Linked DNA regions of Rattus norvegicus. The protein of the gene in region 2 interacts with the protein of the main gene of each other region in a biochemical or structural test. Links are inferred from orthologs where the notes say so. Each region holds a gene or a part of one and is shown on either strand. Other genes may lie near its edges.

What was found. The genes of interacting proteins can lie anywhere in the genome.
Region 1: of the proteins of Srpk2 (region 2) and Hnrnpc, one has a biochemical effect on the other in vitro, tested with the Homo sapiens proteins (2 studies listed by BioGRID and IntAct). The link is inferred for Rattus norvegicus from reciprocal best matches to the Homo sapiens genes SRPK2 and HNRNPC.

What each region holds. Positions count from the first base shown.
Region 1 is NC_086033.1:27,280,372-27,284,259, reverse strand, and holds the start of Hnrnpc (heterogeneous nuclear ribonucleoprotein C), read left to right. Parts: upstream 1-1,544; 5' UTR 1,545-1,698; intron 1,699-2,282; exon of another isoform or gene 2,283-2,319; intron 2,320-3,888. UniProt on the Homo sapiens protein: Binds pre-mRNA and nucleates the assembly of 40S hnRNP particles. Interacts with poly-U tracts in the 3'-UTR or 5'-UTR of mRNA and modulates the stability and the level of translation of bound mRNA molecules. Single HNRNPC tetramers bind 230-240 nucleotides.
Region 2 is NC_086022.1:12,523,527-12,527,314, reverse strand, and holds part of Srpk2 (SRSF protein kinase 2), read right to left. Parts: intron 2,776-3,788; coding exon 2,610-2,775; intron 1,522-2,609; coding exon 1,496-1,521; intron 292-1,495; coding exon 45-291; intron 1-44. UniProt on the Homo sapiens protein: Serine/arginine-rich protein-specific kinase which specifically phosphorylates its substrates at serine residues located in regions rich in arginine/serine dipeptides, known as RS domains and is involved in the phosphorylation of SR splicing factors and the regulation of splicing.

The sequences.
Region 1 (3,888 bases), on a different chromosome or scaffold from region 2:
CTGCCCACGGGAAAGACACAGTCACCACCTGTGTCAGAATAAAAGTCAAGACCAGAAGTGGTTACACTATCATCGGATCTCAGCATGCTGAGGGCAGAGGTAGGAGGATCACTGTGGGATGGATGCCAGCCTGGTCTACATACAGGCTGCATAGTCTGACCCTGACTAAATAAGTAGCAAAAAAACCAAAGCGAACTTCCTGCTTGCTACTCTGGTTTGGATTCAGGTGCACCTCCCTCACCAAAGCCAACTTCTTTACAGAACTGCTTTGCCTGTGCTTAGGAGCTCTGTCAGAGGAGATCATTGCGTGTTTGTTCCTAACACCAGGGAAGTGAAAACAGAAGGAACCTGGGGTTCAATGGCCCGCAAGCCTAGCCATGAAGGGCTTCCCATTTGTCTGTCTACCTACCTACCTCTACCTAGGTACTTATATTTATTGTTTTTTCGACAGAGAGTTTCACTATACAGCCCTAGCTGTCCTGAAACTTGAGTAGACTGGCCTTGCACTAGAAATACCGCCTAGCCCAAACCTTTCTTTAAAGAAAAAAAAAATAAAATAAAATTGGGAACACATAAACTCGCTGGACTGGAACATTTAAAATAAATCCTTTGAAAATGTCAAAGGTTTAAAGGTCTAAAGAAGACCTAAAAGATTATTTTTTATTTTTAAATCAGGAAATTTCCTGGGGTACTCTTTCCCTTTCTCAGTAGGCTATATACATTTTTGGCCTGTTTAATGTTTCTACAGTGTAACCAGAGCTTTACTGGCCGAGCTGAGGGGGTTAAGTAGTATCAAGCTATTGCAGGAAGTGGGAAACTGAGGCGGCTGGCCATTGGTTTTGCAGATTGTGTGACGACTTGGGCCCAGGAAACGGGTTTATAGGGGTCTAGGCAATTGCTCTTATAGGAGAGAACTATGGAAACCAGTTGGTTTGGAGGGAGCTGTTCACTGACAAGGCCACGTCCTTCCAATAGCTTATAGAATCTGGCAATGAGAGGGGATCTGAATTTGAAAATAACTGCAGACCTGTTTAGTTTTTAACACTTCAGGCGGCCTAGGGATTACGATCCTCCCTTCTCTAAAGCTTGTTTGCACTTCCCTTTTTTTCCAAGGCCTGAGGCTAGGGCAGGCCCTTTGCACCCGCTACCAGACTCCACCCAGGCTTTCCCACCTCCGTGCCGCGGAAATGCGGTGATCTGGCCGGACCTAGGATCTCTAGGAAGCACTGATAGGACGACACGGCCGTCAGTCAGGTCCGCCGGATACCCGGATGAGAAGCTGTGCGCGATACAAAGGCGAAAATTCCACCCAGCTTTCCGTCTGGTACAGTGACCAATAACCATCCGTCAGACACTAAGTGATAGAAAGCTTAACCAATTACTAAGTAGCTTTTGTTACGCATGTGGAAATTCTCCCAATTAGCCCAACCCACCTCGTGTGATGATTGGACGGAATTGTGAGGAGCGGTAACGCTATCTAATTAGGAGCGGGAGCGAGAAAAGTCACAGCCAATAGAAACGCCTCCGGGAGCGGGGCGGGGGCTGGACTTTTGCCTCGGCGGCAGAGGAGCTCGGGGGCCATTTTGTGAAGAGACGGAGAGCGAACGGTCGTGTGGTTCCTTGCTGTTGTAGCTCCGGCTTCTCGGCGTAGACCCGCAGTAGGAGAGGCAGGCTCTTCTCTCTCTCTCCTTCCTCTTGGTAAGCGGAGAGGGCGAGGGCAGGGGAGGCCCTGGGTTGCTGGGCCCCGCGAGGGGGTTGTAGGCGAGAAAACGGCCTCGCGGCAGAAACCGAGGCCGCGTTTGTTCCTGTGCGTTGGGGATTGGGTCTAAGGCGGGAGGCAACAGGCCTCGGCCTTGGCGCAGGTTCAACCTAGTGACCTCTAGGCCACGGTGCGTACGAAAATACCCTCTTTGCGCGCTGGTGTTTAACGGCTACTTTCATTTCCTTCCCCCATTAGGATTCCAAGGGGGAGCAGGGGAGCAAGAAAGCGAAGAACGAAATGCTTGTTAATGTAATTGTAGTGAATCTCTTACTCCGTTATTGTCTTCTAAGCTAAATGTCGGGCGTGGGTGGGGGAGCGATAACATGGTGGTGTAGTACTGGAAGCTTCTAAATTCCAGGCCGGCCACATGGCATCTGAACGGCGTTTTAACAATAGATTAAGTAGTGATTACTTTTTTCTTCAAGGGATAGATGGGTAAAAGTCGGGAGTGCTTTTGGTTTGTAAAGGGAAGTGCCCAAGGTAAATTGTAATTGGAATAATTACAGCTTTTTATCTGCAGGTTACAAATCACATAAGTTAGTGGAACTTTGCTTGAGGTAGGTACTGCTGTCCTAGAGAGAAGTGAGACTTAAAAGTGGTTGACAGGACCGGACTAAATCAGTAGTAGAGAAACTAAGATATTTCTAGGCAGGTCAAGTTACTAGAATAGACTATACACAAGAAGAGACTTAGCCGGTAGGTGGTGACAGTGCACGCCAAATGCCTCCCACCACTTGGGAGGCAGAGACAGGCAGATCTCTCTGAGTTGTGGGCCAGCCTGGTCACAGAGAGAGAGTTCCAGGACAGCTCGGGCTACACAGAGAAGCCCTGTCTCAAAAAGGGGGGTGGGGTGGGAATGAGTTTTTCTTTTTAGAGGAACCTGATACCGAAATTTACAGGACATTTTCAATCTGGACTTGGGAACAATAATTAAAAGGCACAGAAATAGTTTACAGATACTCCAGTATTAATCCTACCCATCTAGAATGGAAAAAAAGCAGTTTACAGCTAGTTATGGTAGTGCAGGCCCGGAATGTTTGCATTCTGGAGGTTCAGAGACAGGAAGATCCTGAGCAAGATCCCATTGCAAGGCAGCCCAGGACTACATAGTAAAACATGTTTAAAAATTAAAGTAGTTGCTCTCTTGTAGGTGTTGAGTTCTTTTTTTTTTTTTTTTTAGATTTATTTATTCTATATAAGTACACTGTTGCTGTCTTCAGACACACCAGAAGAGGGCATCAGATCTCTTATTACTGATGGTTGTGAGCCACCATGTGGTTGCTGGGAATTGAACTCAGGACCTCTGGAAGAGCAGTCAGTGCTCTTAACCCCTGAGCCATCTCCTCCGTCCGAGTTCTTTTAAATATAGCTAGTGATAGTGCTTAGGATTCAAGATGCCCAGGATTCAATCTCCCATACTAATAAAGGGTTTTTGTGTCACATTAACTTACCTGGGAGTTATTTCATTAGATAAACTTATTATAAAATTGGTATTTCACTCTGGCACAGTTTTTAATCTCAGCACTAGGAAGGCAGGAGATCTGAATGTAGAGTAAATCTAGTAATTCTAGGACAGCCAGGGCTATACAGAAAACAATGGGTTTGATTAAGTGACAAAAATATGCTACTAATCTTAGTTTAAACTATACACACATTTTACTCTTAAGCATACTTCATGGAATGTGCATGGCCTACTCTTGTAATTTGAGCACTTGGGGGATAGAGGTAGGAAGAGTTCAAGGCCATCCTTGGTCCAGCTTGGAGTATTAAGACTGTCTAAAGAAGAACAAATGCAGACAAAGGAAAAAAAAACAGCCTCCCACATTTTTTGTTTGGTTTCTCTGTGCAATAGGCCTGGCTTTTCTGAACCCACTGTCTTGATTAGGCTGGCCTTGAACTCTGATCCACCTGCCTCCGCCTAAGTAAGAGATGGGATTAAAGGCATGTGCCTTTAAAAAGTAGATAGAGTACAGGGTTTTGCCTGGTGAACAGTGAAAACTAGGTAAGAGAAAGTATTATAAATGTCAGAAGTTATGCAAGGTTACTGGTAGTAGTTGATGTATACTTGCCATTAAGTGTTATAAATGTAGGCCAGGCTTGGTAGGCACCTTGTTCTGGTAGAACAT
Region 2 (3,788 bases):
CCCGCACGCGACCAGCCCTCCCTCCTGCTCTGAGTTGGACTAACCATTGTCCTTTGCTGTCTCTTCCTCAGTTGTGTCCTCTAACTCGGCCTCTTTCAGTTTCACCTCAGGCTGGCATTCTCCATCTTGCTCACTGGAAGCTTCTGCAGAGGTGGTGTTCTCTTCTAGGATTTTCCTTTCGGCTTCTCTCTCCAATTCCTCAATCTCCTGCAGGCGCTTCTCCAGCAACTCAGCCTGCCTCTTCTGTTTCTTTTTTAGCTTTTTCTTTTTGTTTTTAGATATTTTTCCTATCTACAACATGGTAAGAGAGTATGTGTCAGGCGGGAGTATGACACCTTGGATCAGAAAAGCACTCTTTAAAACACTCCTTACGAGTTGAAATGTTGGTAACACAGTAACTGCTTTTCCAGGACACACTCAGCTTTCCTCACTAACCCAGCCACGAGAGCCACCTCAGGGGAGGACTGTGCTCACACGGTTAGTCTCCCCTAACTTCTATGAGGAAAGTAGGAGAGCTGAGCTCCGTGAAATACCTGGCTGTGAGCAAGAATCTTCTCTTGCAAGCTTTCCTTGCTGCTGGCTGTATCCAGAATCCTTAACGACAAAAACAAGCACCTGCCCAGACCAGTGCCAACAGCACTGTGTCTGCATGTGGCTCTGACACCAAGCTGTGAACACCATGGACTTTCAGAAATCAGTAGACGATAGAAAGAAGGGAAAAAAGGAAAAGCCACGGTTTTCTGTGCCTCAAGCTACAGCCATAAGTCTTGGAAAGCCCTGGCTAGGAGGGTCTGCAAAGTTTCTCAGACCCATAAACCCAAACCTAAGGCTCAGGGGAGAGCTATGAACATGATCTGGGGGCTGGAGAGATGGCTCAGTGGTTAAGAGCACTGCCTGTTCTTTCAGAGGTCCTGAGTTCAATTCCCAGCAACCACATGGTGACTCACAACCATCTGTAATGGGATCTGATGCCCTCTTCTGGTGTGTCTGAAGAGAGAAGACAGTGTACTCACATACATAAATAATTTTTTTAAAAGTGATTTGGACTCCCCCGTAACAATTCAGACTTGGAACTGTCTTGATTTGACAGGATCACAGAACAGATAATGATCCTTCTCACTTAAACAGCTAGCTATAAAAAATTAAAATGTTTTTTGGCAAAACAGGATACTTGGAGGCCAGGCAGAAGTCATTTAAAAAAGATTCTGGAACAATTAGATTTTAAATTTGAACTAAAGCCTTGCAATTCACCGAACTCAGCCAACAGCAGCCAAGAGAGCCCAGGGGGAGACTGGCTTTGACTGTTCCCGTCCACAGCAGGAAGTCATGCCCTATATAATGACAGAGCATTTACAAACATGCGCCTCTAAATTAGTGAAGACTATGACATTTGCTACACAGTTTGTGCAGCTCAGGAACAAACAGTCCCTCCTGACATGCTGGCCACACGTAAATACGGTCCCTCCTGACATGCTGATCACACGTAAATACTTACAGGTTTCTGCTGTGGAGCCGTACTCACTAAAACAAAATAAAACAAAACGGATGATCAGAGGAAGACAGGCACTGTTGGGTAATTTGATTTGCAAACTGAGATAATACTGCCTTTTAATAACTACCCAACTTTGAACAACTTTCACCTCAGAGATTGCTAAAGATAGGAACCTGGCAAAAGCTTATGCAATTCAAACAGACTGCGCAGCTCCAGGCCGCAGGAGACGCTGTGCACGTGAAGCACTTTTCTTGCAAACAGCCTCTCTCAAAGCACTGACAAAATAATTACAGAGGAAAAGAAAAAGAAATGGAAGAGCTTACAAGCCAGTCACATAACGGAACATGTTTTGCATATGAGGCAATGGACATGCTAGCTAGCGAAGAAGGTGCACAGCCATGTCTGAAGACTACACGGAAAGCACCACACACGTGAACTAGGGCACACAGTGCAGCACACTGTGCAGTGGCTCCAGAACTCGGCCTGGCAGCATCAGAAGCTTCATAAACGGGCTGCGTGAGGTGAGGTGATGACATCACCATGGTGCTCGTGATGAGGCGGCAGCGCTTCTTTCTGGAGCCCTGTCAGTCAGCCAGAGGGAAGCACACCCACTCCAATCTCCATCCCAATCTCCCCAATGAAGCCTCTCAACTTCCCAAGAGAAACGACGCTAGTGCTCATGTCCCTGCTTCCCTTTCTAGCTCCCCACCCTGGAGCTTCCACAGCCAACACCAAACTATTGGCTAAACTGAGATGGAAGCAGGTATAGTAGTTAAGGAAAGAAAACATTTGTTATAAAACCCAAATCAGGAAAAAAAAAAATCAGAAGTCTGCAGGTCGGCTACAAGAAACTGGTCGTATACTCTCCATAGAAACTTGGACCACACGGGAGCGTGCACCTACGTGATGAAGCCTTTGAGAACGAGCAAAGGTAACAGAAGACAAAGAGTTAAAAGAATGAACTCAAACCTCATCTTAAGCAAAAGCATCTTCAACATCTAAACTCTTAGAAAAAGTTCCTAATGCGTATGTGCACGTCAGACACACGGCCTTCACTAAAGAGCTTTAGAAGCTCACAGCCCCAAGCAGACAGAGCAATGAGGGCTCAGCCCCTCACCTGCAGACCCAGAAGGAGGAGGAGCACCTGCTTTCTGCCACTCCGTAGCCTCGGCCGCCATTCTCCGCACGTACGCGCCGTCCACACACATCAGGATGTTCTCCGGCTTGATATCAGTGTGGATTATCTTGCACTTGCTGTGTAGATAGTCTAAGCCCTGAAGGACCTGGTCACGGTAAAGCAAACAGGACCCCTAGTGCTTCAGTCCATGACTTACTAAGCCTAAGCCATGCAATGCCTCCATATGCAGCTGGAATACACTTTAGAGACATTTACTCTAAAAATGGAGTTTCCTCACAGGCAACCAATGTCATCACTTCAGAATTCAGTTATGCTCGCAGACATAATGCCCTTGATAAGAATTTTATATGCAATAAGTCCAGGGCTTCAGAGCTTTGCCAGAGGCCTTAGGGTCACATGTATCTTACCACTGTCTCCAAGCCCAGTTCCAGTATACCGGTGTCACAGTACACAGTGCCCAGTACACAGTGTCACCTCTGTGGGCACAAGGTACACAGTGTACAGACCCCACAAAGGCAGACATTCATACATAGAAAATAAAAGCGAATGCATCTTTTAAAATTTCAAATCTACATTATCGCGTTTATTAATATGATACTACCTAATTCAGAACATCTGCGTCAGTCCATAAAGAAATCCCACAGACATGAGTAGTGGCTTCCCCTCTCCCTCCACCTCTGACAGTCCTAACCACAAGGCTATGTGCCTGACTCATGTAAAGAGGTCTCTGTGCTCGGGTAAACATGTCCAATGTCCATGCACTCATGAGCCTGTGAGTGACCCAGAAATCAACAGTAGATGGATTCCTTAAAGGCTCCCCATCCCCCTACCCACTTTTTTTAAATTGAAAAATACTGGTTTTTCTTACTGAACCTGGAACTCACCAATTTGGTTAGAATGGCTGCCCAGTAAGCCTCAAGAAGCCCTGTCTCTTCCTCACCAGTGCTGGGATTTCAGACACACACCAGCACACCAGGCCTTTTAGATCTAAGGGCCCGAGTTCCGAGTCCCAGAACCCTATAAAGGCCACCCTCGTCCCAAGTGCTCTTTTCTACCTGGCATCATGACGGAGGCACATGCTGGGTAGCACACACCAGCTAGTCACTTCCTGTATTGCTGAACAATGTCCCCTCTGCAGACACATGGCACTCTTTAAGG